Linked DNA regions of Lonchura striata. The protein of the gene in region 1 binds, or shares a complex with, the protein of each later gene. Links are inferred from orthologs where the notes say so. Each region holds a gene or a part of one and is shown in the gene's direction. Other genes may lie near its edges.

Region 1 (7,590 bases):
CCTCATTCCCCTTCCACCGTCCCCAATCCCCTCTTCTCCATCCTCATTCCCCTTCCCCGACCGTTTCCCCCCGTCCCTCTATCCCCATCCCCTCCCCTTGCCCCTCTCCATCCCCGACCTCCTTCCCTTTCTCCCGCAGGACGCTGCTGGTGAACGCCGGTGCCGTGCTCAACTTCAGGCTGTGAGCGAACCGGGAGGGCGGGCGGAGGAACGGGGAGGGTTTTTTGGGAGTTCACCTGCCTGACACGATCCCTCTGCCCCGCAGGAGGAGGAGGGACACGGAGGGATTCGGAGAGGAGCAGAGGGAACCCACCACCGGTAACGGAGGGGATGCGGGAGCCGGGCACAGCCCTGCCCTGGGCCAGGACACGCACAGAACGGGCTTTTCTGGAGGAAATCCTTGGCCAAACTGGAGTTTTTCCACCCCTTTTTGTTGGATGTGAATTGCTGTGGGGCTGGAATAACTGGTGTATTAACTTGTAAACTAAAATGAGAAGAAACACACAAAAAGCACATTTCTTTCAGCATTTTAGACCTGTAGGTGCCTGTGCTATAGAGGTGATGCTCTGCTCATTCCCCTATTGCCATTTCCACGTGGATCCATCTGTGTTGCTCCCTTGTATCTGTTTGCTGGTTAAAAATCCCAGAACACCTTTTTTGCTCCTCCCTTTTTAGCAGCGTGACCCCTTTTTATAATTTTTTGGTCATTTTGCCATGTATCCTTACAGAGTTGCACTGAACAGAGCATCCATCCTTCACCTACAACCTCAAATTTCAGTCTGAACTTTTTGTTGTGTTTTTTTTAATGTTTCTTTTTCCCCTCTCAGAGTTGCTTGTGATTTTCAGGCAGCGCTGAAAATCTGACTTGTCAGTTGTGTTTTTCATATCAAAAGCTTCTCCTCTTGATTTCTAGGCGACAATATCAGAGAGTTCTTGCTGAGTCTCAGGTATTTTCGAATCTTCATTGCCTTGTGGAATATCTTCATGATGTTCTGCATGATTGTGTGAGTAACCCTGTGCAGCATCTTCTCACTTGGTTACAGGAAGTCATATATTGGCACTTTTCTTGCACTCTTGTCACATCTGTCTCTCCCATTTGATTTTTCCATAATTCTTTTTCACTTCACTTCTTTATTTCAGTTTTCAAATACGGGTTGATCTCACCTTTTTTTGCTAATGTGGGCACCTGTAGTGCATGAAAACCACCTGTGCCAGCACCTGAGTCATTCAGCCTCAGGCAGAGTGTTGTTTGTTGGGGGTTGCTCAAATCAAACATCACCTGGGTTTAAATTTGGGGATGTTTTTCATTTTGGGGTGGGGTGGAAACCCACCAAGTAAATAAATCGGATAAATCAGCCTTGCACAGGTGTGGCTGTTTCTCATCTTACTTTTTTTTTGCATCCCCCAGGTTATTTGGATCTTGAAAGCCACCCATGGATATTAGAAGAGACTTTTGGCTGGGAACAAACTTTTCTAGGAGTAAAATATTCTGCTGCTCTCCAGCTGCAGCCCTGGGCCTGTGGGACACGCTCGTCCCCTCCAGGTTCCTGCTCTGCGGGGGCTTGGAGCCACAACCTTCACACAAATGATCTCAACTTCACTGAAAGGGAATTTTGACTTGGTTTCCTAAGCTCAGAGTGAGAGCAGGGGAGAACTGGAGCCAGTTTTAAACCTCTGCTTTGCCAGTCCAAACTGGGTCTGTGCCAGCTCGAGTTACCCCCGTCTGTCCAAGTCACACTCCTGAGTTCTCAGTTTTGTGTAAAAGTTGAGCAGAGTGTTCTTGTAACTTCTCACTATTCCATTCATTTCTTTGGAGGCGTAGAAAAGGAATATTCAAGAAAAAAAAATGCCATTCTCACCTTCTACCTATTTCCCTATTTTTCCAGAAAAAAAATGCTTTGTAAAATAATACTTAAAATAATTTTTTTTTCCTAAGCAATATGTAAAGGATTTTGAATGGGGAAAAATGGCAAAAATAATTCTCTAAGCAAATGTTAAGAGATAATTTTGGAATAATCTTGGATTTGGTTGAATAAAGTTGCTCTATTTAAGGGTAAAGTATATATTTGATGCCATGTTCATTCTGTTACATGAGAAATTGATTCTGTATTGGTGTATTTTGGGAAATTGTAACTATTCCTGTCATCTGCCTGGAGTCTTGTGTTATTTATAAGTTAGCCTCTCTGACCAACAGCTTTTCCCTGGAATCGCCAAGATCATTAATTTAAGAGAGTGCAGCGCTGAGTATCATTTAAATCAAACTGTAAACTGTTAGTGGGGCTTCCACAGCTTCAGTTTCTTTAGATGTTGAGGAGAAAGAGACCTGATTTAAATGATGCCCTGGCACAGGTTTTAGGGAGTATTTGGAATTTTATTTGGTAGTGAGATGCAAGTGTTGGACACCTGCAGCATTTTACTTGAGTTGCCCTCTTGGTTGAACTGAAGTTTTCACATTAATGAAACATGACAGGGGAAGGGTCATTTGATGGCCACTGTAATGAACCCAGAAAAATGTACAGACAGGCTCCTTCAAATGTGGTTTGAGCAATCCAGAAATATGTACAACCTTTGGTTAGATTTAAACATATTGTCTGTAATTTCAGTATATTTTAACCCTTTTCTAACTCTTCAGAATGAGACAAAAAAGTATACTGCCAAATACAATACCATTATTGTATTGTATCAATTATATTGAACCAATATAATTCTTGGAAAACATTTAGTGCTTAATCTTAATTAAACCAAATTTTAAGGGACGGGTGGATGTGGCATCACTGTGTGTGTGACCTATTGGACACCCCTGGGTTCAGCTTTGAGCTAGGGGGGTTTTTATTCTTCCTCAGAAAAATGGTAACTATGATCACAGGGAGTTCCACTGCTAAAGGAATGTAGTTTTATCACCCTGCACACACCGTGTGGCTCCAGAGTGGGCTGTCCCCAAAAGACTCCAGCTGTGCAAAAGTTGTGATTCAGCCTCGAAGCAGCTGCTTTAAAACAACGAAATCAGGAGTCAAATTTCAGCTGCTCTTAAATGCTGTGAGAAGTTTTAAGTGCTGCACTGATGCTTTGCTGAGAGGACCAGAACACCCCTCACACCTTCTTGCCCGGAGTGGTGCCCGCAGGGGGTTTATTCCCGTTATTTATTCCCATTATTTATTTCTCTCCGCAGGGTGCTCGGTTCCTCCGGGGCCGGGCGGGGGTCCCGGAGTGGCCACCCGGCTCCCGCTGCCCCTCCGCCGACACTGCCCCGCTCTCCCCTCACGGCTCCCCGCCTCGGCGCCCTCTCCTCCAGCTTCTTCCCGCTATCCCTGTGTCCCCCTGAACCGCCGTTGTCCCCTCAGCGGCCCGTTTGCTGTCCCCATGTCCCCCAGCGCCGCCCGTGTCCCCTCAGGGATCCTTGTCCGCTGCCCCCATGTCCCCCGTGTCCCCTCAGGGGTCTGTTTGCTGTCCCCATGTCCCCCAGAATCGTCGCTGCCTCCGTATCCCCTGAGGGGTCCCTGTTCGCTGTCCCATTGCCCCCATGTCCCCTCAGGGGTTCCTGTTCGCTGCCCCCATGTCCCCTGTCCCTTCAGGGATCCTTGTCCGCTACCCCCTGTCCCCCGTGTCCCCTCAGGGGTCTGTTTGCTGTCCCCATGTCCCCCAGAATCGTCGCTGTCCCCGTGTCTCCTGAGGGATCCCTGTTCGCTGTCCCCGTGCCCCCCGTGTCCTCTCAGGGGTCCCTGTTCGCTGTGCCCATGTCCCCTCAGGGGTCCCTGTTCGCTGTGCCCATGTCCTCTCAGGGGTTCCTGTTCGCTGCCCCCATGTCCCCTCAGGGGTCCCTGTTCGCTGTCCCCATGTCCTCTCAGGGGTTCCTGTTCGCTGCCCCCATGTCCCCTCAGGGGTCCCTGTTCGCTGCCCCCATGTCCCCTCAGGGGTCCCTGTTCGCTGTCTCCGTGCCCCCCGTGGGGTCCCTGTTGGCTGCCCCCATATCCCCTCACCAGCCTCTGTTTCCCCCTCTCCCCCGCGTCCCCCTCTTCCCCCCTCACGGCGCCCCAGCCCCGCCCCGCTCCCCCACCGCGCACGCGCGCGCTCCCGCCGCCGCCCGCCCTCCCCCGCGCAGGCGCAGTGCGCGCCCCCGGCGGTGCGGGCGGGCGGGGGCCGGGGCGCGGCGCGCGCACGTCACGGCGTCGGGCGCGTCCCAGGGAGCCGCGCGCGGCGCCGGCCCTGCCCCCAGCGCGCCCCGCGTTCGGCCCGAGCGGAGCGGAGCGGAGCGCTGGGCTCGCCCGCTCCCCCCGGCCCCCCGCGCCGCCCCCGCCCGGCGGGGAGCGAACATGCTCCTCCGGCTCCCCGAGGCCGCCGCCGCCGGCGAGTGAGGAGCCGCCGCCGCCGCCGCCCCGGCCCGGCCCGGCCCCGCCGCCCGCCAGCCCCGGCCGCAGCCGCAGCCGCCCCGCTTCGCCCAGGCAATGACAGCGGCTCCGGCCCCGTCCCCGCAGCAGATCAGGGACCGGCTGCTGCAGGCCATCGACCCGCAGAGCAACGTGAGTACGGGCCCCGCGGGCCCCCGCCGCTCCGGGCCGACCCCCGCCCGGCGCTCCCGCCGCGACGCCCTTCTCCCCCTCCCGGGGCCTCCGGGGCTCCCTCCGGGGCCGCCCCGGCTGCACCGGAGCCTCCGCTGCCGGCGGCGGCGCGGGGCTCCCGGCGCGCCGTCCGCCCGGGGTCCCGCAGCCGGCGGCGCCTCCCGCCCGCGCCCCCCGGGCCGGCAGCGCAGGGCCGCCCCGCTGGGGGCTCCGGGGGCCGCTCCCCGCCCGCCCGGCGCCGCGGCCGCCCCCGCCCCGCCGCCGCTCGGCGCCCCGGGCCCGGCCGGTGCTGCCCGGCCATGCGGCGGGCGGCCCGGCCGCCTCCCCACGCCAGGCCGCGGCTCGGGCGCGGCCTGCAGGGGGCTCTGGGCCGGCCCCGCCGCCGCTCGCCGGGACCTTCCGGGGCGCCCACCTGTTCCTCGGGCCCTGCGGCCGCTCCGGCCGCGGCCGGCGGCACCCCGGGCTGCGGGGACGCCAGGAGGGCTCCGGCCGTGGCTGCGGGGCTCTGGAGCTGCTCCAGCACCGAGCAGCCTCGGTCTTCGCTTTTATCCCTTCCTGCAGCGCCGTAATGAGCTTATGTGCTCCTTGGGATGTGGTGTAAGCACAGAAGTCAGCGTGTATTTTACCTGTAAGTGGCCTTAAGTGGCGGTTATCCAAAGGATCATTTGCTCCTTTTAAGGGTTTTTTGGCTCATCCAAGCAGTTCTCCGCTTAGGTGTTTATTACTGTGAGAGGACTGCAGGGCCCTCAATCTGTCCAATTTTTGAATCTTAGATCAACACTCACCTCCACAGGATGCCAAGGTGGGTCTGGCTTGGCCATCTGCAGTTTGTGGGAGCAGCCTCTGGCTCATCAGGCTGAATGTGTGCGTGTTATTTTAGGGGCTGGGGTGTGTGAAATGGTGCTTTGGTTCTATTAAAGTCGTACCTGCTCCTGTCTGAACAAGTACTTTTTTTGTGATAGACATGCATCAAAGTCCTAAAGTAGCTAATAAAGTTATTGTCATTTGGAACCCTCCCGGAGCCTGTGTCATGGGGACTGAAGAAAAACCACTCCGGCCTTGTCGGTTCTGTAGAGCCCCCTGGGCTGGGCATCTGTGGGGAGCTGCAGTGTTGCACATTGGAGTAACAGTAACAATCGTGGCGGTAATTGTGGGCTGTTAAATGTCAGGGTTGTCTGAGTTTGCAGTACTTTAACGTGGATCTTGCTGAAATGTCAGTTAGTACACTTCATGAATCCTGTGTGCACTGAGCTCTCTGTGGCTGCAGATTGTTCACTCTACGTGAGACTGAGTGTCAACCTACTTTAATAAAATTCTAGCAGATCTGTGGTGTCTTTTGACTTCAGAACTGTCAGCTGCAGTGGTTACCCTAATTCTGGTGTTACTTTGTCAGACACTGTGGCTGTGCAGAACTAAACAGCCAGAAAGTCAATTTGGTGTTGGATACTCTTCCCTTTCTCCACATGCTGATGTTTCAGGATGCTGTTGTGAGAGGACTCCAAATAACCAGGCAGCTCCCTGCAAGGGGAGGCCAGAGCTCCCAACAGGTCAGTAGCCCCTTAAGTTTAGGAGTGATGTATGTTAAATTTTAATTCTACATACTTGATACTTATCCAGGGCAATAATTGGTGGCAGAAAAATCAGCCTATTGTTCCAAAGTGCCTGTAGGCAGGGTCTGTCTTCCAGTTTAACCTTTTCTTGGAGGAGAGCAGAGGTGGTGTAGCTGAGGTTCATTGTGCAGGCTGAGAACTCAGACTCGTGGCTCCAAAGCACATGGAATATGTGGCGGTGTTGGTTGTTCACTACCTGGCACATCACTGGCACAGAGGGAAGAAAAACTTACATTTTGAACACACTTAAAAAACAGATTTTGAGTTTAATCACACTTGGACACCATGGTGAAAGTACAAGAAGCTGCTCTGCTGTTTTCCTGCTGGGAGAGTCAGTGCAGCAATGAGCTTCTGTGCCTGCAGGGACTCATGGAAAGCTCCAGCTACTTTCTGCTGGCTCTTAGAATCTTCTCCTGACAGAACTACTTGTATTCAAACCTACAGCATACATTGTTGTCACTGACTTCCTCATTTACCAAGAAGGTCAAGCTTTGAGGCCTAGATTTAATTCAGACTTTTCAGTGTGTGTGTTTCTGGAGAGGCTGAAAGCTGCACCAGTAGTGTCAGGTGGACAAAACCAGTCCAGTTCTATGGGGCTGAGGAGGGAGGAGATGGTTGGTTCTTCATGGTGCTTTACTGTAGGATCTGTAAATTTAAGCTTCACTTAAATTCCCTGACACATCCCCTAACACAATCTGCCATTGTGGATATTTATTCTTGAGTGGTTACTTGGATCATGGTTGACTCACAGGTCATGCCTTAAATGGGGGGAAAAAAAAAGGACATAAGTTTCTCTACCTCTGTTGGGTTGAACTGGTCAAAATAATTGTTTCCCCAAGCTTGCAGAACCTGCTGGCCTCGGGAAATCATCTCGTGTGCTGATTGTTCATCTCCAGCTGCTCCATAAAGCCCTGCTGACTCGGGAGCAATATTGAATTTACACATGTTTAGCACTTGAACCTCCTCTAGTAATTGCTGCAGAATATATTTATAACTTAGTTTCTCACATTTAGAGGTTACCTGTGTAAATTCTGAACTATTTCAAAGGAGACCTATAAGAAATAAGCTATTTTTAAAGGAACTTACATCATCCTAGAAGCCACCCGGGATGTCTGGTATTGTGTCTTCATTTATTCAGCCTTTTCTCCTCCAGGAAACATATGGGCAAACCACTTCTGCTCCATGACCTAAGCACTGAGTACCAGCATCACTTTCCTTCCAAGGCTTCTGTGAGAACATAGCAGGAGGTGGAGGAGAGCAGGAGTTCTGTTCTGTGAGGTCTAACAGGGGAGATGTTCTTTGATTCTGGTGGGAACAAGGCTGGGAAGCCACCCCTTCCACCCAGCAGAACACCTTTGCCTTGATAACCTGTGCTCCCGGGGGAGTTTATTCCCTGTTTTCAGGAGTAATGAGAAATGTTGGTT
Region 2 (7,413 bases), on another chromosome or scaffold:
AAGCTGTGGCTGCCCCATCCCTGGCAGTGTCCAATGCAAGGTTGGATGGGGCTGGGAGTAGCCTGGGATAGTGGAAGTAGTGGAAGGTGTCCCTGCCCATGACAGAGGGTGGCACTGGATGGGCTTTAAGGCCCCCCCCCCCCCCCCCCAGGCCGTTCTATGATTTCACAATTTTTAATGTATAAAGTATTTAACATTCATAAAAGTACTGGAAGGTGGCCAAAGCAGCACAGTATGAGTATGTTAACATTTCTCCTCACAAAAATGGACCTGAATAATCTGTTAGATCCCACATTTTCCTGACAAAATAAAGCAAAATCAGTCGCCAGTAATTGAAAGATCGAGATAAGAGGAATGGTGCTGACTGGAAATACCATTTGGAGGCTAAGCAGCATATGGAAGCAACAGGAATTCTGCAATGTCCAACCCTGCACAGTATTTATCTGGATAAGTAATATCACCATTCACAATTGCAAAAATTTTTATATAATAAGAAAATTATATTTTTTTATGGTAATGGATGTTCTTTTATTCCAGAAATAGGATGGATACTTCATCAAATGGTTTGTTGTCCCTGGGCCTCCTGTAGTGATAGGATGGGTGCGTGGTGCTGCAGTGGAGTTACAATAGCTGTACTATTTTAATGCGGAAGGATGTGGTTTGGGGTTGGTTAATACACATTGCTTGACATATTTACAAGTGTCAGATTGTGTTCTCTGTTTATAAGACTTGTGCCAAAAGGAAGGGGAGTAGCATGGGCCAAAGTACTTCCCTGATTGAGGGTGCCAGGATGTAAGAAGCAGTTTCAAGGCTGTGACGCTTGGACTGAATACATTGCAATTGTAACTGAATGTGAATAATTTGTATTTGAAAACATTTTTCTTCACAGTATAGGTCCAGTCTTTGCAAGTCAGAATTTCTGGTCGGTGTGGCAGGGAAGGGATTTGATGGATGATGGATTTGTCAGAGGAAACACACACACAGTAAGAACTCTGAGCTGGGTGGAAATTTTCGTTTGGCTTAAATTCTGTCTCTTACTCTATGTACGTAATTCAGGTAAATGTGATGCCTGTTTGTGGGAGAGATTTGTTACTATGAGGTAAATCCAAACAAACTCCAGTCAGCCATTGCAAGAGATGCTAATCTTAATTTATTGCCAAGAAAAGTAAATTGCAAAAAAGTAAAGACACTTAAATGAGATTAAAATCATGATAAGGAAAGCTGCCACTGAGTACAGAGTGAGAACTTTTTCCACTGAATTACATCATTGAAAATGTGCTGCATTTCTGTATTAGAGCTTAAGTTGAAATGCTCAATATCTTCAATATTGTTAAGCACAATATTTGCTTTCTACCATCTGTGGAACTCTTCAGTCAGGGAGAAACTCAGGCAGGGAGAAACTCTCTGCTCCCACTGGTTCAAATCAACAGGTCATTACAAACAGTAAAAACGTTATTTGTGATGAATTATCTCTTTTAAACCAAGTGTCTTCTTCTTGCATAGTACTGACTTAAGAGTTGGACTCCATGATCCTTGCGGGCCCCTTGCAACTCAGAATAAAAATCTGTGGCTCTTCTCCAGACCATGATTATTTTGGGAATGAATTTCATTTGGTTATCTAACTCAGGTGTTTTCCAACTCCCTTTAAAAAAAATAATGCCAGCTAACATCTTCAAAGCTATTTCAGATGAGCACGGGGTGACTTGAGGGCTGTGCAGAGTGTGGGGTTAAACTCAGCTAGGAAGGGGAGCGTGACCACAAATGAGCTTTGAGGCCTTTTAAAAATTACTTTGAGCACTCTCAGGTGCTGAGAAAACCCTCCGGTGAAACGTGGAATGCTCGGGATCATGATTCCCCCGTGACTGGCATCCTGAGCGACTCCACGGATGGGATACAGTTCCCGTGCCACAGAACATCCCGAGGTGGAAGGGACCCACCAGGATCATCCAGCCCAGCTCCTGGCTCTGCCAGGGCCACCCCAAAGTCCCATCCTGTGCGTTCCTGAGAGCGTTGTCCGACTGTACCTGGAACTCTGGCAACCTGGGGCTGTGCCTGCTGCCTGGGGAGCCTGGGCAGTGCCTGAAGAAAAAGAAAACCTTTCCCAAATGTCTGGGTAGCATGTTTATTCCTTCTGCTTTTCCTCAATGGTTAATAAGGGAATTCTGCCTGGTTCAGAGGCAGTAAATGGTAGTTTTCCTTATCCTGTTCTTTATTTATTTAGGGAAAAAAGAAAAAAGCCCCTTAGTAAACTTGCAGCATCACCACGTGAAACTCTGTTTCACCTTTTCCAGTAAGACACTGGCTTTCTTATGTCCTGCGGTACTTTGTGACTTTGAAGGGGTCCCCGGGGAGCCCGTTCAGTGCCCGACCACCTCTGCGGGGAGAGCCTGGCGCTGCTGCCAGCCTCCCCTCCCCGGCACAGCCCCGCCGGCTCCCGGGCCGCTGTCCGTCCGCGATGCCGGGCCGCTTGCTGTCTGTCTGTCCACCATCCCCGTCTGTCTGCTCTCCCTGGCCGCTGGCTGTCTGTCCGCGCTCCCTGTCTGTCTGTCTGCTCTCCCTGGCCGCTGTCTGTCCGCGCTCCTTGTCTGTCTGTCTGTCTGTACGTCCGTACTCCCTGTCCGCTGTCTGTCTGTCTGTCCGCCATCCCTGTCTGTCTGTCTGTCCGCGCTCCCTGTCCGCTGTCTGTCCGTCCGTACTCCCTGTCCGCTGTCAGTCTGTCCGTCCGCCATCCCTGTCTGTCTGTCTGTCCGTACTCCCTGTCCGCTGTCTGTCTGTCTGTCTGTCCGCGCTCCCTGTCCGCTGTCTGTCCGTCCGTACTCCCTGGCCGCTGTCTGTCTGTCCGTCCGCCATCCCTGTCTGTCTGTCTGTCTGTCCGTACTCCCTGGCCGCTGTCTGTCTGTCCGTCCGCCATCCCTGTCTGTCTGTCCGTCCGTACTCCCTGGCCGCTGTCTGTCTGTCCGTCCGCCATCCCTGTCTGTCTGTCTGTCCGTACTCCCTGGCCGTTGTCTGTCCGTCCGTACTGCCTGGCCGCTGTCTGTCTGTCTGTCTGTCCGTACTGCCTGGCCGCTGTCAGTCTGTCCGTCCGCCATCCCTGTCTGTCTGTCTGTCCGTCCGTACTCCCTGTCTGTCTGTCCGTCCGCCATCCCTGTCTGTCTGTCTGTCCGTACTCCCTGTCTGTCTGACTGTCTGTCCGTACTGCCTGGCCGCTGTCTGTCTGTCCGTCCGCCATCCCTGTCTGTCTGTCTGTCTGCGCTCCCGCTCCGAGGGTCGGGACCCGCGCCCGGGACCCCCCACGGCCGCGCCGCTCCCGAGCGCCCCCAGCGGGCGGCGGGCGCAGCGCAGCGGCGGCGGGAGGCGCCCCGGCGCCGGGGCTCCGCCCCCGTGTCCGCATCACGTGGTGCGGCGCGGACCAATGGCGCGGCGCGGTGCGGGCCCGGGCGCCATTGCTGTCAGAGCGCAGGAGGCAGAGCGGGCGCGGAGCTGCGGCCGCTGCGGGCACGGCCGGCACAGCGCGGGCGGACAGCGCTCCCTGCCCGGGCCGGGCCGCGCCCGCACCGCCGCCACCCCGTGGGCAGCGCCGACGAGGCGGCGGCGCCGGCAGCAGGAGCGGGAGGAGGAAAACACCATCCACGCACAGCCAGCGGCGGCAGCAGCGAGGGGCGGCCGGGCGGGGCGGGGAGGGGACACAGCGCCCCCCGCCCGCCGACGCCTCCGCACGGGGCCGGGACCGGGCCCCCCCCTCGCCTCGCCCGCCCCGCGTCCCGCACGGACCCGCCGCCCTCCGCGCGACCCCCGACCGGGGGGGGCCGCACCTGGACGCGGAAGGGCGGCCCCGGGCCCCCCCTTCCTCCTCTTCTTCTCCCGGCCTGGAGGAGCGGGGGACGCGTCCCCCCCGCCTGCACCGGAGAAGGGCCTCCCGGCTCGAGGATTATCGGCGCGGGGGCGGGTAGCGAGGAGCAGCGCGCCCGCCCCGGCCTCGGCGCGTCCCCTCCCGGCCGCGGGGCCCCGCGGGGCCGAGGGGCCGGAGCGCGGCGGCCGCCCCGGGCAGTGACGGGGGTCGCCCCGGGGGCCGCCCGCCTTGCCCCTCGCCCCCCGGCCGTCCCCCCAGACATGCCCCGCCGTGGCGGCCCGGCTCGCCGAGGATCATGACTGCGGCAGCGAACTGGGTGGCGAACGGGGCCAGCCTGGAGGACTGTCACTCCAACCTCTTCTCGCTGGTGAGTGAGTGAGCGGGCGGTGGGCGGGTGGGCGCCCGAGGGTGGCTCCGCGCCGGGTTTGCCGGTCGGGAGCAGCTGCCGGGGGTTTATAGGCAGGGCCCGGGGCTGCTCCTGCGCTGGCCCCTCCCCCGGCCCGGTCCCCGTGTTTATTTTGCTCTTTAGCGTGGTTTGCTGCGGGTCCGTGTATCGCGCTCGCAGCTGGAGAGCGGGGAGGGGAAGGCTCTGTGTCCCTTGCACGACCATCTTCCCTGGGTAAACAGGCTCCTCTCCCCGCCTCCCTTGGCACTCCGTGCCCTGTGCGCTTTGTGCCACCGAACCGGGGGGTTTTCTCTCCTCTCACAATGACAAACGCCATTTCAGCAGCAGCGAACGCTCATGTAGTGTGATCGGCTGTCGGACTTAGCTCCGGGCTCCTGTGACGGCGTGTCAGCTGCTGTTACAGCCTGCTCACCTCTTTGCACACATCGTGCTCGGGGGCAAGAGGTTAAAAAAAAAAAAAAAAAGCCAAACCTTTTAATTTTTTCTTCTGTGAAGAACAACAGCGGCTGACAGTAGTGTGCCGGATTGTTTGCATAGATGCTGTCTGCCCATCTCACTGGGAACTTCCGACGTGGATTGCGTGGTTTAATGTTGCAGGAATCATGGTAGCAGTTTTGGCTGGCTTATAGATCGGCAATTTAAATTTAGAATACGAAAACAATTTGTGTGTAATGGCAGAGTCATTCGGAAATACTTTGCTTTATTTTACCTGGCATGCACAGGAACATTATCCCTTCTGGCTGGGCAACAGCTGAGTGAGTGAGAGGGCTGCTGGATCATCGGGAGCCTTCCAGTGCTACAGGGATAATGTCGGAGGGGAGGAGGGACTTGTTCGGTGCGTGGTGTAGTGGAGTTAAAACCTTGTGATGCAACTTTGGGGGTAGCATGTGTGAAAGGGTTGTGGTGAGTGCCCCCTCCCCGCAGCAGAGCTCTGCCAGAATTGGAGGTGGGTGCATATGTTCTTCTTCTGATGGAACGGAAGAGATTGTTTTTAGCTCCCTTATGAAAATAAGGAGAGAGAAAAAAAAGGAAATTACTTAGAAACGCAAATGATCAAGCTCTTTGTTTTATGCTTTTAAACGTTATTGTAGTATATTTGTTATTTTGTCTCAGACTTTGGTTTTTTTTTAATCTGCATATGTATATGTACATACTATATTTTGCTTGTACCTCTTAAGAATCTGCAACAAGAACTGTAGTCTTCCACTGCTAGAAAACTGCTCCACGAGCTTGTTCTGTAAGAATTATACATTTCTTACTCTGGCTTTTTATTGAACTGTTACGTTATGTAAGTTTGTATCCGTGCTTCTGTTTGAAGGCATATAGTAATATTTATAAATACGTAGTAGTGCTCTGTGTATGGAGATGCAGGAAAGGTGATTTGGGGGATTGTTCTGGTGATTTTGACTAAGCTGCTCTTAGCCGGGGAGGAAAATAAATCGGGAAGCATGAAGGGAACAATCGTATCTGATTGTAGAAGGGAGGCAATGGAGGATTTGCTCCTCACAGAGTTGTGAAGTCCCCGTTCATTAATGCAGACTTGAGTGTGTGTTTGGAGAGGCGGAACTTCTCCTGCAGTTGCAATCTGCAAATCTGTCACTGGTAAAAATAATTGTTGGCATGCAATTAGCATAAATTATAAAGTGAAGCTATTTCATAGTTATTGTGGTTTGGTTGCTTTTTTTCTCCCACCTGACTAGGCTAGGGAAATGTTCAATTTTAAATGGGTGTGTAATATCACTGAAATAAGTTAAACGAAATTCTTTTGCAATTGGCTTTAATAATGAGTTTAATGTGCAGCCCTTTAATCTCCCATGTAATTTTGTGGGAGGTATCTGTGCCTTAATGTGGTCCTGTGTATGAAACTGTTTTTATTGTATTGTGGCTCTACAAAAAAAAAAAAAAAAAAAAAAAAGGAATAAAGTAGTAGTGTTTTTAAAATACAACCTATGTGAAAACTATTAGGAAGATTTATTTAATATTGTGTTAGTGTTTTTTGGGATTTATGTAGCAGAGAAAGATATTGAAAATGGAAACACTAACTGAAAATATGTAGCCAGCACCACTGACCCTTTAACCTCAGATTGTCATATTCATTTCAAAATTTATGAAGTGTTAAAGCTACAGTAGTGTGGATTAGTAGTTAGAGAAACTTTTGCTAATAATTTACTTTTTCAGTGTAACAGAACAAAATCTAAACGACTAACTGTTGGGAATCCATTCATTCTTTAACAGTGAGGTAGATTACAAATGTTTTGAAAATTGATTCTGCTATTAGAAGTTGGGGGTTTTTCAACTGCAGGCTTTGTTTTGTGTGTGAATCACGAAGTAATGTTCGTGAGTGGAGAATTACAGTTCTGAAATAATTGTAGTCTATCGTGATACTGTTTGTTCATGGTTAAATAATATTTCTTGCCACATACATTTGTTCTGTGGAAGCAGGAATGCTGTCTCCTTGCCCTGGAGAAGCCAGAGCTCTGTGTCAGCTGTGTCTGGTTGCTGTGGTGGATTTGGGTTTGTTTAATGATTCATGATTGCCATTTTTCTGTCAGCTGTAGACATGCTAGAGAGGTTAGGAGCCTTTGCTGCTTCTGAATCTTTTGATGGGAAGTGTTTTCTTTTAGTTACCGATTCTCTTTTATCAGTGATGTCCAGCAAGTGGAAGCCTTCAGTGGTCTGGGCTCTGAATGTGTCACCTGAGGGGAGGGCATGGTCTGAAGTGGAGGTTTTAAAGTTTCCTTTGACAGTGCAGGTGCTGGGGATGGTGCTGGGCTGGCAGAGCTGGGTTCCATGGGATGTTCCTCTGGATTGCAGCGCTTGGCAGCACCAAGTGTGTGTGGTGTTCTCCGGCAGCGCGGGGATCCAGCGACGCTCTGGAAAATGGGTTAATACTGGTGTGCTCTGGTAGGCAAAAACCCCAGCCAGCCTGCACAGATATCCCCAGTCCTGCTCCAAGTGTGGAGCCTTTTCCCAGTAAGGTGGTGGAAGGGCCACTTTGCATCTTTGTTATCAGAGTATTCCTCAAATAATAACTTGTTTAATCTGCTGAGTATAATAGCCTTGTTCATTAAAAATACCCTTTCTGTATGAATTTGCTGTTCCTGACACAGCAGTAGGAAAAATTATATTTATCCTCAGTCTGTTTTTGCTGTAGTCA
Region 3 (7,389 bases), on another chromosome or scaffold:
CTGGGTGCCAGCTGCTCAATATGATGATTGTTGCTCAACTTCTAAACTTCCATTTTGCTACTTAGCTTGGAGTGCGAGAAACTCTCATTTAGGTTACTCAGCTGTCCTCTTCTTTAGCAGTTCATTGTCACCCCAATAAACATGGCTCCAGTAGACTCAAAGAACAAGACAGAAAGCTGCAGAAAAAGGGAAGAATTAGCTGGTCTTTATGAACCAGATGCATCCAGCTTTCCTTGAGGTTACAACTGCACCTTTGAATCCCCTCACACTGCTCCCAGTGACCCAGGGAGTTGTAGAAGCAGAGCAAGATCCTCCTGTGAACTGTTTGGGAGCCCTGAGAAATGGGATGCCTTGTTCTGAGCATCTGCTGGGAGGATGTAGTGAATTATCCATCATTCGTGAAGTGAATTATTCCCAGTATTGGCAGTAATATAGAGCACGTGTTTTATACTGGAGAAGCTGCACAGGGTTAGGTCCCTTCTTCTGTGATAAAGGGACAATTAATCCTTTCCTCAGCTGTTCTCTCTTAGGCAAAAATGCAGAAAGGAAAAACTCGTTTCATGGGAGCCATAGCCAAACTGGGATTTTGTTCCAGCTCCTTTTATTAGTGCCTGGCTATCATGGTTCCTGTCTGTTTCTGTCTCCCTCTGAAGACAAAGGTGGGACTTGCATTGCTGGCAAAACTTGCTGCAGATCCCAGGGTTTGCCCTGGCAATACAACACATTTGCTGTACCCAGGTCACTGTTTGCTGGACAGGAATTACTTCTTTGTGCCATGCAGATGCATTTTTTAAAGACATGTTAATTTACTTGTTTACATGTTTGTTTTAAAGACATGTTCATTTACATGTTTGAATAAACAGTTACAACAGGCATGTGAGCAAGAAAACACCCAGCATTAATGTCTGGCTCAAAAATCAGGTTGGGGGGCTGCTTCCTGAGACAATACTATGACTATGAACATAGGAAGGAGTGCTGGGTGATTCCATCAAAACATGCCTGGATTTTGAGCCCTATCAGTTTCCTAATTGTAGTGAGATACCTGGTTTATTGCTAAATAACCATGAAAGCTCTGTTTTGAGCTTTGAATCTGTTTGATAACAGGCCATAGAGCAAGAAACAGTTTAGCTGTCATGCACTGCTCTGTGTTGTGCCCCAGTTTTCACATGATGGGAACATTAAACTCCTACTTCAGCAGGCGTGCCAATAGGCTGCAGCTGATATTTTAGTCTGAGGAGTCAGGAAGAAAAGGTTGCACAGTACTGCACTGCAAATTCATTCACTCCCAAAGCCACAGCGGGAGGCAGGGAGATGGGAATTAACCACAGCAGATGGAGACATAAAGCTTGGTTAAGTCTCCTTCACCCCCAACAGGCTCCTTTTCTCTTGCCCTCCTCCCTGGTTTATCCTGCAACAAAGCCTGTAACAATCACCAAAAAAGGAAATTCCTGAGCTCATTGCTTAACCAGGCTACAAGATCTAACCCTAACCTACGCCCAAGAAGAGACTGGAACCGAGTTTGACTTTGGCGTTGTTTTTCAGACAACATGAGAAAAACACACACACATCTATTTATCTATTTATTTATTATTTAGAGTGCAATAGCAGCAAGAAATGAAAGAAATCTGTTGTAGCACAGAAGAGAGAAGCACTGTTCTAAGAGCATGCCTGAAAGTGGGGTTTATATTTACTGTGCTTGTACAATGTTTGGATTCCAGTTCTGCTAAAATAACAGCATACTGCAATGGCACACACTGTACACACTGCTGCTGAATTAACAGAAATGGAGTGCTTGCTACTGAAACATGCCAATTTGCATAAAATTAGTTATGAAGAAAATGAAAATAAACTTAACCAAAGCTATAAATTAAGATATTGAGTCTTTGAGGCAGAGAATATCATGGTACTTTTTCACCATCTGTTGAAGGGGTGTCGAAGTTCATTCCCACAAGCTGGAGATGATGTAGGAATTGTGCTTCATTACCAGTGCTAGGCTTGTACTGGATAGTGCCCTTATTTCAGAAAAGAGCTGGACTGGAGCAAGAAGCAAATTGCAGAGTGCTACACTTGAGATTCCCCGTCATTCTTAATTTCTCATTTAGAAGCACTGTAAGGAGAAGTGTCAGCTGCTCCCCGTGGGCTGGAAAGGGTCATCCATGGGTCTTCTGAGAAGCAGCCCTGCCACCAAGAGCAAGACTCATCGATGTTATATTCCCTCTGTCTTGGCCACCATCATACAGAAAATGCGTCAAGATCACAGAGATCGAGGGAAAAACAAGAGCATGGCTCTCTCTGCCTGCTCCTGTTTGAAGTCACAGCATTTTACATCCTTGCTGCATGGTTCACTGAGTGCAAGGCACTAGAGAATCAAGCTCAGCTCCTGTAAAAAGAATGTGAAATCAAAGTCTGGAAAGTCCAATGAAACCAAGGATGTGTTGGTACCTCCTACTACATGTGTTATCTCATGCATCTCTGGAGGCAATGATTTTTATTCCTTATCTTTCTTTCAGAGTATGATGTAACAAGATGATTTGAGACAAGATAAGAGATTTCTGTCACAGAAATGGAGAGGACAATTCCCCACCCCATGTTCCCAGCCTCCTCCTTTCCTTCTGCCTATGCACAGTCCCCTCTCAAAACCTCTCCCTGATGTTCACAGGGTACACAGCACAGCATGTTAATTCATTAGAAAAGCTGAAAACTTTACAAAAAAAAACCCTGCAGTAATGTTTTATGGGTTTGGAGCTGCATCAGTTTGCTTTGCAATCCAGTGCCTGATGGTGGTGGCACAAGCAATGACAAGAAAAGGGTGCACAGCCAGTGAGGGGCTGGAGGAGCAGGGAGGGAAGAAAGAAGAGAGGGAAGAAAGAAGCAGGAATAGAAGTGAAGGAATGAGATCACCTTTTCCAAAGGAAAAACGTTTTAGTTGCAGCATGGAACTGCATCCTTGTCTGAATTCAGCAAATTGCTTACAAATGAAAACAAATCAGCGTATTTTTCAGCCAGGCTTTTACTCACTGTAAAGTGCAGTTCAGTTTGGAATATTTAAATATTCAACTCATTGTAAATTGTAAAGTGTAGCTTAATTTGCAATATATAAATATTCAGATATTCAGTACATCGTTTCAGGCTTTCTCATCAAATAAGTATAACGATTCTGGATCTTCTTTGCATGTTTTTAGGAATAATTAGCAGGATCCAAAGTAATTATCATTCAACTGAATTTTTTTTAGTAAAGAATCGATCTGGAAGAGTGAATCTGTAAGTGACACTGCGTGTGCGGTGATGGGTCCCTAACACCCAGGCCATTGCTGCCATCTGCTGAGGGAGAGAGAACGGCACAGAAACGGCCAAGTATCGAAAAAACCTTCCTTGCTGGCCATTTCAGGGAGAAAATCCCGCAGAAGCGATGCCAGCAAGCCCAGCTCCACCTGACCCGGTGAAAAACTTACATCCACCATGTTAACTTCAACTCCTCCTGGAAGAAAACGGAAAGAAAAGCAACGGAGCCCAACTGTTTGTCAGTTATGGTCAGATTTAGCGTTTTCTGCTGCCGGATGGCTGCAAACACTTCCCAGGGGGACCTCGGAGGTATTTTCCAACCGGATTGGTTCTGTGATTCCTGTGATTGTTCCGTAATGCTGTTGTCTCCCAGCAGCGGGGCCGCCCTGACGAGCGCTGTCCCCGCTGTCCCAGCTCCCGGGGCCGCCGGGCTGGTCCCTCCTGCCCCGGCGCTCCCGCTGCCTCACAGCGGCTGGTGGCGAGGGAGCCCGCTCCTGGGGCACGGGACACCGAGGGGAACAACGCCGAGGGACACAGGACACCGAGGGACACAGGACACCGAGGGACACAGGACACTGAGGGGAACAGGACACTGAGGGACACAGGACACTGAGGGGCACAGGACACTGAGGGGAACAGAACGCCGAGGGACACAGGACACTGAGGGATACAGGACACTGAGGGGCACAGAACGCTGAGGGGAACAGGACACTGAGGGGCACAGGACACCGAGGGGAACAGAACCTCTGAGGGGCACAGAACACTGAGGGGAACAGAACGCTGAGGAGCACAGAACGCTGAGGGGCACAGAACGCTGAGGGATACAGGACACTGAGGGGCACAGGACACCGAGGGACACAGGACACTGAGGGGAACAGGACACTGAGGGGCACAGGACACTGAGGGGAACAGGACACTGAGGGACACAGGACACCGAGGGGAAGAGAACGCCGAGGGGCACAGGACACTGAGGGGAACAGGACACTGAGGGGAACAGAACGCCGAGGGGCACAGGACACTGAGGGGAATAGGACACTGAGGGGAACAGAACGCCGAGGGGCACAGGACACTGAGGGACACAGGACACCGAGGGGCACAGGACACTGAGGAGCACAGGACACTGAGGGGTCACAGAACGCTGAGGGGTCACAGATCGCTGAGTGGTCACAGACCGCTAAGAGACCACAGACTGCTGAAGGGTCACAGAGCGCTGGGGAGGGTCACGGACCGCTGAGGGGGTCACAGACCTCTGAAAGGTACCCACCGCCCCAGGATGGGGCAACCCCCACCCCGCCATACCGGGAACCACGCCCCGCGCCTGGCCCCGCCCCCGAGCGAGCTGAGTGGAGGAGCGCCTGACTGCTCTGCGTCACAGCCAATCAGAGCGCGGCACCGCGAGGCCGCCAACCAATAGGGAGAGAGAGGAGAGGGCGGCCGGGCGGAAGCGGCTGCGGCGGCGCTGAGGGAGCGCGGCGGGCGGAGCGGGCAGGTGAGGGCGGGAGGGCCGGTGCGGCCTCCGCGGGGTCCGTGCGGCCTCCGCGGGGTCCGTGCGGCCTCCGAGGGGCCCGTGAGGCCTCCGAGGGGTCCGTGCCCTCCGAGGGGCCCGTGCCCTCCGCCGGGCCGTGGCTCCGGCTCTTGTTTCTTCAGCACTGACTTGGCGAGCCCCGCCGCGGGGTTTGGGCCTCCCCAAACTCCCTCCTCCGCAGGGCAGGGCGGCGGGTGTGGGCCCTGCCTGGTTTCTCTCGTGGGCGCGGGTGAAGAGGGGAGGCCGCACGAGGAGCGGCTGAGGTCACTCGGTCTGGCCAGCCCGGAGAAGGGCAGACTGAGGGGGGATCTCACCGCGGGCTGCAGCTTCCCCCCGAGGGGCAGCGCCTATCTTTGCCCTCTGAGGCCAGTGACAGGGCCCGAGGGAGCGGCTGGAGATGTGCCGGGAGAGGGTTACGTGGATATTAGGAAAAGGTTTTTCCTCCAGAAGGTAGTTGGGCACCGAACAGGTTGCCCAGGCTCTCCTTGGTCACAGCCCCAGGCCTAAAATACTTCAAGAAGCCTTTGGGAAATGCTGTCAGCCATGGGGGAGATTTTTGGGGTGTCCTGTGCAGGGCTTTTGCAGATCCTTGTGTATTACTTCCAGCTTGGGATATTCGGTGATTCTGGGGGGTTTGCCCACCAGGACCCATCTAGGGAAGGGGGTCACCCTTCTCCCTTTGGCTGCCTAGTTTACAGGCTGCTCTTTCATATTTAGAGAAATGAGTGTTTTGTGTGCTTCTAGTACTTGGTATAAGTAAATCTTAGTGAAAAGATAACGTGGATTTGCCAGGAGTTTCCTGTATTCTGCAAATGGATTTGTCTCTTCTTGCTCATTTTCTTACTGCCATCTCCCATATTTTGTCTTTTCTTACATTTATATTATAAACTTGTGACACAAATTGTTAACATTTGTTTCTTGGGTCATTCCCTAGAAATTTCATCTGGCAAAAATGGGTGAACCTCAGCAAGTGAGTGCCCTTCCTCCGCCTCCAATGCAATATATCAAAGAATACACTGATGAAAACATCCGTAAAGGCCTGGCTCCAAAGCCACCTCCTCCTGTGAAGGACAGCTACATGATGTTTGGCAACCAGTTCCAGTGTGATGATCTGATCATCCGGCCCCTGGAGAGCCAGGGGATCGAACGGCTGCATCCTATGCAGTTTGATCACAAGAAGGAGTTAAGGAAACTTAACATGTCTATCCTGGTCAACTTCCTGGACCTCTTGGACATCTTGATAAGGAGTCCAGGGAGTATAAAGCGAGAGGAGAAACTGGAAGACTTGAAACTGCTTTTTGTCCACGTGCATCACCTTATAAATGAGTACCGGCCTCACCAGGCCAGGGAGACGCTGAGGGTCATGATGGAGGTGCAGAAACGGCAGCGCCTGGAGACGGCCGAGCGCTTCCAGAAGCACCTGGAGCGAGTGGTGGAGATGATCCAGAACTGCCTGGCTTCCCTGCCCGATGATCTGCCTCACACAGAGGGGGGACTGAGAGTCAGCGTGGAGCCCATGGACACTGACGATGGCAGCAGCTGTGCTGGACAGAGCGAAAAACAGAGGGAGCGTTCTGGTGGCAAGAGAGATCAGGTTTTGGACAAAGATGCAGCAATGTGCAGCATTATTGATGAGATGACATGAAGCAAACAGCTGGTTTTGTTAATGCACCGCAGTGAGAGACAGAAGGGGTTCTGAGGATGCATTTTGTATTTTGTTTTGCTGTTGTACAAGCAGAAAGAGCAATTGTTGTGCACCTGTTGGAGGTTGTGGGTGACTGGGCAGATGAAAATGTTTAAAGTTTTGTGGTTTTTTGGTAAAAAATAAAAAGTCTAATTTTTGTTAAATGTAGCATGTGAGGTCGTAGGCACAGATTAAAGTTGGCTTTTCCTGTTGTACTTTCATTGTTTTGGGTATGCCATTCTATAATTCTTTATGCTGAGTCAAGAAGAAATTCCTACAAAAATGGTGTTTGTTTTTTGCACAAACAACACACAGGAACTTGGAAAACAGGCAGACAGAAACTCTGATTACACGAAAGCAATCCTTATGGTCTGTGTTTGAGGTGAAATCTAAAGCAAGTGGGTTAACTGGTGTCCTGTAGCTCTCACATCCTTTTATTGTGTGACCTGAATGGCTTTCCTGGGATCCTGGCAGAGACAGCCTGCCCTGCCTTTCCCATTTTTGCAGAGCAGTTTCAGGATCCTCCTGGTAATTATCAGAATTGTTCCTCTAGCAGCTGTCTGCAGTTTCCTCAGAAACCAGAGGAGCTGAGAGGAATCCTTTTCTTAAGGAGTTCTACTTCCAGCTGCTGCATGCAAAAATCACCTTCATCCGTCTATCACTTCTTTCCTACAAGTGTATTGCTAGTTTGTCTCTCAGACATTAATCCCTTGGTTTTCCTGATTTTCCCTTAAAACTGCTGTCAGTTTGGTGCCTCTCTTCTCCTATAAGGCAGTCATGCAAGGCAAGGTTCCAATTCTAACATCTTCCACTTGCTCATAAATAGCTCCTTAGTACTTCATTTCACTGTGAAGTAGTTTAGCTGCTTCAGCAAAGAGCATTTCTTGGCCCTTGATCA
Region 4 (7,538 bases), on another chromosome or scaffold:
CTTTTAAAATAGCAATAAGAAATGGATGATTTATCAGACACATTTCAAAATATTAACAGTGTAATGACATCTTGACAAATGAGGGACGATTATTCTCATCTTTCAAGACCAAAGTACAGCTGTGAAATCCTTCCAAACAGTGCTCAAGATATTTGATTTCTATTTTAGTTGATTTTTGACAGAAAGGATTTTATTTTTACATTATTTAGGGGAAGTAGAAATGAGTAACTGTTCTGTCCCTTTTCCTTTTTGCTCTCCTTGTGTATCCTCCTGCCTTTATATTTTTAGTGATTGCAATGCTTTATTACACATGGTCCTGAGAACCTTCAGGTATTACGTATCTTCTGTAGTCTGTATTTTCCTTATTATTTTAAGGTGTGGTAAACTTAGCTGTTGCAAACTGAACACCTGATGTCTAGTGTCTGGAATGTATAAATTAGAAGACAGCTGAAAAGCACTGTAGCCCAGAAAAAATACAGATTTTAACTGAAGCACACACCTGCTTTGGGTTTCTTAGGCAAGATTCGCTACAGCTCAGCTTCTACATTCTAAAGTGATTTTCTAGTTCATAGGAAAAAAAACCAAAAAAAAACCAAACAAAGTAGGAATACCTAGAGTGAAGGAATCACAGTATTATGTTGGAAGAAAATGCTTTGCACTAGAGGAATCCTAGGTCTGAATAGCACTGAATTATGAATAAAAGAAGGGAAGATCTCACTTTTCAGCACTAGCCCACAGTCCCATGAAATTAGTTGCAACTCAAGCCACACTCTGAAGGCATGGTTCCATATGATGAGGTTAGAGTTCACTATCTAAAACAGAAGGAAATGAACATCCTCTTCCAAATTAAATATTCTTCAGTCTGGTTATTGAGTTGAAGTGGCTCATGGCCCATATGGCAAACACCAAGAAGGAGCTAAGGGTGGGTGAAAATCTGCAGTTGGGACATGAGAAGTTAGCAGCATCTCAGGTTCTTGCCCTTGGTGAACTATTAGATCAGATCAGATGCTCCTAGATCTATCTAGAGGAATCAGTTTGCTCTGCTGATCATCACTTCAAGGCCCATTCTGGAAGAGAAAAGACTCAACTGAACAAGATAAAATAAGCTATTTTTGCTTATGCTAGAAGGTTCTTAACAATACATTCAGTATGCCATTGAACAGACAATTTGAAATTAAAGAGCTCTGAAATGTTTAATAAACTCACTGTGCAAATATCCATGTATGACTACACAAACTAAAATGTTCTCAGTCTACTGGAAAAATTCAGGAACAATGCTTAGTTATTCAGGAGGAACCAAAGAAGCAGATCTGGCTCAAAACCAACAAAACTATGAAAAAAGTTTACCCAGGGGAAAGTAGGCAAAAAGCACTGAAGAACTGAGGTAACAGAGGAACCAACACTGGGGGAACAGAGGCTCTGTTGTTTTTATAGGGAAATATTTCAGAAGTCTATTCAGCAAAGTATTCACTCAGTCTTTAAGTAATCAGTCCATGGGGGGCACGAGTTTGGGGCATGAGCCCATTTCACCCAGCCTTTCCCTTTGTTCTGAAGGAGATGACCCCTATGACATGGTTTGAATTACTTTCTATGTCTTGGCACAGACAGGCATTCCCTGATACCTCTGGTCTCACCCTGTCCTCCCACACAGAGGCACGAACACAGTTAAGTCTCTGCCTATTCCACTGCATTCCCCAGACATGGCTATGCAGCCATGGGCAGTAGAGAGCAGACAGTTGTCCATGTTGCCTGGAAGAGGAATAGAAATTTGAGAAGTAGGTTGGCTGCTCCAGGGAAAGATGGGTGGTATTGGCCTGGTTGGGTGGAAGTAGTACTGCTGTGAAGAGGAAGGGAGGGAACAAGCTCCCAGGCAAAAGGAGAATGAAAGATCAGGCTACAGAAATCACCTATAATCAATATTCACACCTGTCAACTCTGGGTGTCCTATTAATGCTGCAAGCTTTTAGCTCAAGTGAAACCAACATTATTGCCCTGAAATACAGCACTCAAGTCTAAATAATCCAGATGTCAAAATGAGTATGAGGAAGAAAATGATTTAGTGGAAGGACTGCTTTGTTTTTGATGTCACTATTTCTTTCTATTTATGCACCCATACAGACACTAACGAATCAGTGAACTGGATGCACAACCAGACACTATCACTGATTACATCTTTCCCTGAACAAAAGCAAGGAAATAGAGAAGGGAAAAAAAAGCAAGCAAAAGTTATTTAAAAGGCAGAACTATTTAATGAGATTTTATCTGCTATGCAGTTTAAACAGAATTCCCAAACTATTTGCAATCAGAATGTTGAGGGTTGTTGGGCATTGCAAAGGAATTTTAAATAACTCCTGTTAGCAAAGTCTTTTTTCTCAGAGTTGCCAAATCTCATTGCTTTATCAAAAATCTCATAATGTTGAATTGCTTATTTAAATCACAATCCAAAGAATTACTGACTAATGAGTTTCTTGCCTTTTTTTCTTCTTTAAATAAATGTAAATTTCTCAGGAATACACTTTTTGCAGAAGGTAACAGATAATCAGAGTAAATACCAGCAGTCAGAGAAGTTATTGTTCCTGTAGGCCTTTTTCTAATCAGGGGAGAAGAAAATAGCTGTTTACTGGCAGCTGCCTGCTGACAGCAGAAGGACACAGGGTCTGGGGCTCCCTGTTGTTCTATGGTAGTGCTTGCCCTAGTTAATAAACCCTGGCCCCAGATAAGCTCTTACTCTGTACTCCCTCATCTTCCCTCCAGCCTGGCCTCACAGGGTCTTTCCACATTACTGAAGCTTTCATGAATATAAAAAAATTCCACTGGCTACACTGTGACTCCACCCAGAAGGAGCAGCCCGTTTCACCACCCCATAGAGCGCAGCATTAAAAAACCCCCACAACATAGCAGTACCTTTTAATTCCAACTCAACTGCTGGCAGGGCTGGGTGCAGGATTTGAGCCTATTATTGTGTTCAGATTCTGCCCCCAGCAGGCAATTGTGCCCTGACCATTGTGTGTAGAGGTCCGTGGTGGACACCAAGCTACCTTCATGGACACACACGTGTGCACGGGCAGTGTCAGGAGGACAGTGATGCCTCTAGTCATGTAAGGGACAGCCAGCCCAGGTAAAACCCTGGTCTTGGTCTGATTTGAAGTTCAGGTTTTTGATATGCTTTCAGTATCATGCACTTAACCTTCCTCAGTTGCCAGTAAAACACCAGATATATAAATGTCTAAAGGAGACGTGTCAGGATGGAGCCTGGTGCTTCTCAGTGGTGTCAAGCAATAGGACAAGAGGCAATGGGCAGAAACGGATGCACAGGAAGCTTCATCTGAACATGAAGAACTTATTTACTGTGTGGGTGACCATTCACTGGAACAGATTGCTTAGAGAGATTGTGGAGTCTCCCTCACTGGAGATAGCAAGAACCCTCTGGATGCAATCCTGTGCAGTGTGCTCTAAGACAACCCGGCTTGAGCAGGGAGGTTGGACCAGATGACCCTCTGTGGTCCCAACCTGACCCTTTCTGTGATTCTGTGATTTTATCCTCCATCTGATCAAAGACACCTGAGGGATTTTTGGACACCAAGACTCTCAAAAATTGAGTTAAAGCCCCTGAAGATGTAATACAGTTGCACACACTTCACCTGCAGCCTGTTTTCTGTATCCTTAGCATATATCAGTGTCATCTGGAGGCTCTTTGTGGGGGCCCGGGGACTCCACAAATGCATTCCAGTTGGAATGGTTGTAGCCAGGTGGGGACAGACCTCTCCTCCCCAACAACTAGCAACAGGAAGACGAGAGGTCACCGTCTGCAGCTGCACCAGGCAAGGTTTAAGTTGAACATCGGGAAGATTTTCTTCACCGAAAGGGTGATTACGCATTGGAATGGGCTGCCCAGGGAGGTGGTGGAGTCACCATCCCTGGAGGTGCTTAAGGAAAGACTGGACGTGGCCCTTAGCGTCGCGGTCTAGCTGACACGACGCTGTTGAGACTCCGTAATCTCAGAGGTCTTTTCCAACCTAAATGATCCTATGATTGCAAGAGCAACAAGCACAGATGCTCGAGGAGCGACCTGGCCTCAAGGCAGGCCGCAGAGGCGACCCGCTTTCCCTCACGCCCCCAGCCCGCGGGGACGCGCCCCGAACCCCCGCTGCGCTCCGCCCCGCCAGCCGGCGGGAAGGGATCCGCCCCTCCGCCCCGCGCATGCGCGCCCGCCTCGCGGCTGCCGCTCGCCCCTGCGCCGCCGGGGGCGCTGCCGCGCGCCCGCGCGCGCCTCCCGGGGGCGGTTCCCGCTGGGGTCCGCGCCGGGACGGCGATGGCGGCGGCGGCGGCGGGAGCCGGGGCCGGGGCAGCGGCGGGCGCGGGGGGCGGGGAGCGGAGCAGCACCCGGGACCGGCTCCTGGCGGCGCTGGAGGATCTCGAGCTCTTGGCCAGGTACCGCGCTCGGGCCCCGTCGGCCCCGGGTGGCGGCGGGGCACCGGGGGCGGGGTGAGGGCTGCCGGCGGGGCGCGGGCGCGGAGCCGGGGTTGGCGGGCGGAGCGGAGCGGCGGCCCCGGAGGTTGGGATGGGATGGGAGGGGAGGGGCCCGGCGCCACTGCGGCGCTGGCCCGACCCGGCTGGTACGCGTTTTCCTGCTCTGGCCCTCCTCGGGCCGGCCCTGCCGGAGAGGGGCTGGTGCTGCGCCGGGGCTCGGCCCGGCCCTGCGCAGCGCTTCCCGGCGCTCATCCCGCTGGAAAGCATCGGTCGTTTGCAGAGAGAAGGTGTAGCTTCCTTTTTCTCCCACTTGCCTTTCTCCCTTGGCTGACACCTCTGCTTCCTGTGAAGTGCACACTCACACGCCGATTTTAGGCATTTTATTAGTCACTAAAAATATGCTTAAGTCAGAAATACGTAGATGGTGTGGCATGACATCACCTGTTCAGGTCATTGCCTGTATTAGTGCCACATTCACTCCAAGTAGGCTGCAGCGCTTGTCTTCAGAGTGATAGAAATGCTCAGATACTTAATCCAGGGTCTTTAGTCCAGGCTGGTAATCCTCATCCAAATTGTCAACCATGTCGTGGAGGCACAGCTGGCAGTGAAGTTCAGATAGTTCCTAATTATTTTCCACACCTCAAGGAGAGCAGGAATTTAGGAAAACATTTTCAGTGGGAATACCTGTACTATCCATGTGGCTTGCTCACTGAATGAGTTCCAAGACTAGGATATGCTATTGGTGAGTTGCTCTCCTTGTGGCAGGTTAAGTTTTATCCTGTGTCACAGATTTTATTGAGACATAAGGGTTGCTGAAGAGCATATGTTTATTGAAAAATGAAAACAAGCTTATTCTTTATGTATATTGCTAATATTTTTTAATGCTGGAACTAGTGTTCTACCACAATGAAGCCAGAGCAATTCTCAGCAAAATTTAGTGAATCTTCCTGTTGATCAGCTAAGTGTTGCAGCACCCTGGGGCTAGGCTTTTCTCAGTTTCAATACTGGTTTGGTGGTAGGGACAAAAATTAAGCCATATGTCTAATCTGTAGCCTTTCTATAGTTTTGAATCTATGTCTGTGCATTACCTGGCTGACACAGGGTAGAATTACAGCACTAGTTGACATCACCTTTGATGGTGGTAGGTGACCTACTTAAAATGGATTTTATTTGCTACTGCTCAGCGTTGGTCAGGTAGAATAAAGCTTTAGTAACAGTGACAATTTTCTTTATTGTCTAATTGTTTAAAATCATAGTAGTGTTCAGGAGTGACCAAGAGATATAGACCAAGATCAGAGTTTTACTGGGGATTTTTTTAGACATTTCTGGCCCCAGTGCTATATTACACACACACCCCACTATGCTGCTTACACTGGACCAAGCAAAGAGTCAGTACTTCCAAGGGCAGTGTCTCCAGATGACAGTTACTTGTGCTTAGGGTTGAATTGCCATTCATAGCCTTAGAAGCCAAATGACTTTGCTGAATTTACAGAAAATGCCTTTTTGCATCATGGTACCCAGAGTTCTTGCTGGCTTTCTGAACACAGGCAGAGTATCTGGATATCTGGAAGAGTGATCAAGAGGTCTGTTTGAGAAGCACTTCTAGCCTAGCAACAGAGTATTACCAGGGTTCTTTTATATTTTTTTGTGTGCTTGATGCATAGCTAATATACCATTGTGGGAATATTTGTTGTAAAAGCAGTTCCATAACAGACTCTGTTGGTATTTGAAAGTGTAGACTTAATTGCTCTAAATTACAAGTATATTGGAGAAAAAGTGGAAAAAAGTAGAGAAGTAAAACAGTGAAGACCCTCTTGCAACAAAGAAAGCTAGTAGAAGAAGGATCTGAGTGCACTCCATTATGCTGTTTCTTCTCTCAGGTTCTGTTTATGTCTTTTATGGTTTAACAGGAACTTAGCACATTTCTTGTTCAAATACATGAGGGTTTCATGAGCTCAAATAACAAAAAAATATTCTTTCTTGGTTGAAAAGTCCCTGCCCACACTGTACTATAAAATATAAACTGCTCAGGTCCATGAATACTTTCATAATTATACCAGTACTCTGGTAATTTTGGGATGACTTGATGTGAGAATGCTGTAGGAAATTGTGCAAACGGAGTTCTCCTTTCAGGGAACTAATTGAAATTTTGGCAATTTCAAGAAACCAAAAGCTTCCACAACCAGGAGAGGAGAGCCAGGTAAGCTGCCTTTCTGAATTGCATTTCTTTGGGTAAGCATAATGCTTTGCTTCTAATTTTTTTCCATTTTTTTTCTTTGTCCTTACTTTCTCCTTTTGTCCTTGCCTATATTCAAGTTAATGGTCATGGTGGGGCTTTGGCCCTGCTACAGAGGCATTATTGGTTCTCCTGCAGTTTATTAATTTTTTATGTGCTTCATAGGGCGTTTCTGCAAACAGGAAGAAATTTTCTTTCATTTTTCATTCAAGCAAAAATACTCCTATGGATGCCATTTGCTCTTCTTTGTAGCATGACTGAGAGTGTGTTGTTACTCTAGCCAAATTAAAAGTTCTACAAAACTGTTGTTCAATAGATCCTGGAACTGCTGATTCAGAGAGATGGAGAGTTTCAAGAGCTAATGAAGTTGGCAGTTGATCAGGGAAAAATCCATCATGAAATGCAGCTTTTAGAAAAGGTAGTAGAAAAGCGGGATAATGATATTCAGCAGCTGCAGAAACAGCTTAAAGAAGCAGAGCACATACTGGTAAGTTCATAATGATGTGTTTGCTTTTGAGCATCTTCTTGTAGAAAAGGCAGTTCTGGGCAAAGTGGTGTTGTGTTAGTTTGAGACGATTTAAATACTTAAAACTTCATAAGAGCTTAGTGGTTTGGGTTTTTTCTCAATAGTCAAACACTGTTTAGTTATCATGGTATTAAGGTTTTTTTTATAATGCTAATTTGCTTCTAAATCTACTTTATTTCTGTGTATTTTGAAAATGTTCATGGAAATTTCTCTTTTAAAATGCAATTAAATGGAAGGGTTTATTCACAAAGTTGACTTTATGTAGACGTTTATAAATTAAATATGTATTGAAGGTTTGGTTTGCTT

What was found.
Region 2: MED26 (region 1) and MED13L share a complex: the UniProt entries of both Homo sapiens proteins name them as parts of the mediator complex. The link is inferred for Lonchura striata from reciprocal best matches to the Homo sapiens genes MED26 and MED13L.
Region 3: MED26 (region 1) and MED7 share a complex: the UniProt entries of both Homo sapiens proteins name them as parts of the mediator complex. The link is inferred for Lonchura striata from reciprocal best matches to the Homo sapiens genes MED26 and MED7.
Region 4: MED26 (region 1) and MED4 share a complex: the UniProt entries of both Homo sapiens proteins name them as parts of the mediator complex. The link is inferred for Lonchura striata from reciprocal best matches to the Homo sapiens genes MED26 and MED4.

The regions. Positions count from the first base shown.
Region 1 is NC_134630.1:3,979,359-3,986,948, forward strand, and holds the start of MED26 (mediator of RNA polymerase II transcription subunit 26), read left to right. Parts: upstream 1-4,405; 5' UTR 4,406-4,442; coding exon 4,443-4,517; intron 4,518-7,590. Other genes in the region: SMIM7 (small integral membrane protein 7), read left to right, coding at 140-181, 266-318, 914-1,004, 1,409-1,424. UniProt on the Homo sapiens protein: Component of the Mediator complex, a coactivator involved in the regulated transcription of nearly all RNA polymerase II-dependent genes.
Region 2 is NC_134620.1:6,576,884-6,584,296, reverse strand, and holds the start of MED13L (mediator of RNA polymerase II transcription subunit 13-like), read left to right. Parts: upstream 1-4,088; 5' UTR 4,089-4,145; coding exon 4,146-4,217; intron 4,218-7,413. UniProt on the Homo sapiens protein: Component of the Mediator complex, a coactivator involved in the regulated transcription of nearly all RNA polymerase II-dependent genes.
Region 3 is NC_134617.1:4,516,761-4,524,149, forward strand, and holds MED7 (mediator of RNA polymerase II transcription subunit 7), read left to right. Parts: upstream 1-4,716; 5' UTR 4,717-4,771; intron 4,772-5,741; 5' UTR 5,742-5,759; coding exon 5,760-6,452; 3' UTR 6,453-6,706; downstream 6,707-7,389. UniProt on the Homo sapiens protein: Component of the Mediator complex, a coactivator involved in the regulated transcription of nearly all RNA polymerase II-dependent genes.
Region 4 is NC_134604.1:61,908,123-61,915,660, reverse strand, and holds the start of MED4 (mediator of RNA polymerase II transcription subunit 4), read left to right. Parts: upstream 1-4,312; coding exon 4,313-4,431; intron 4,432-6,603; coding exon 6,604-6,670; intron 6,671-7,022; coding exon 7,023-7,193; intron 7,194-7,538. UniProt on the Homo sapiens protein: Component of the Mediator complex, a coactivator involved in the regulated transcription of nearly all RNA polymerase II-dependent genes.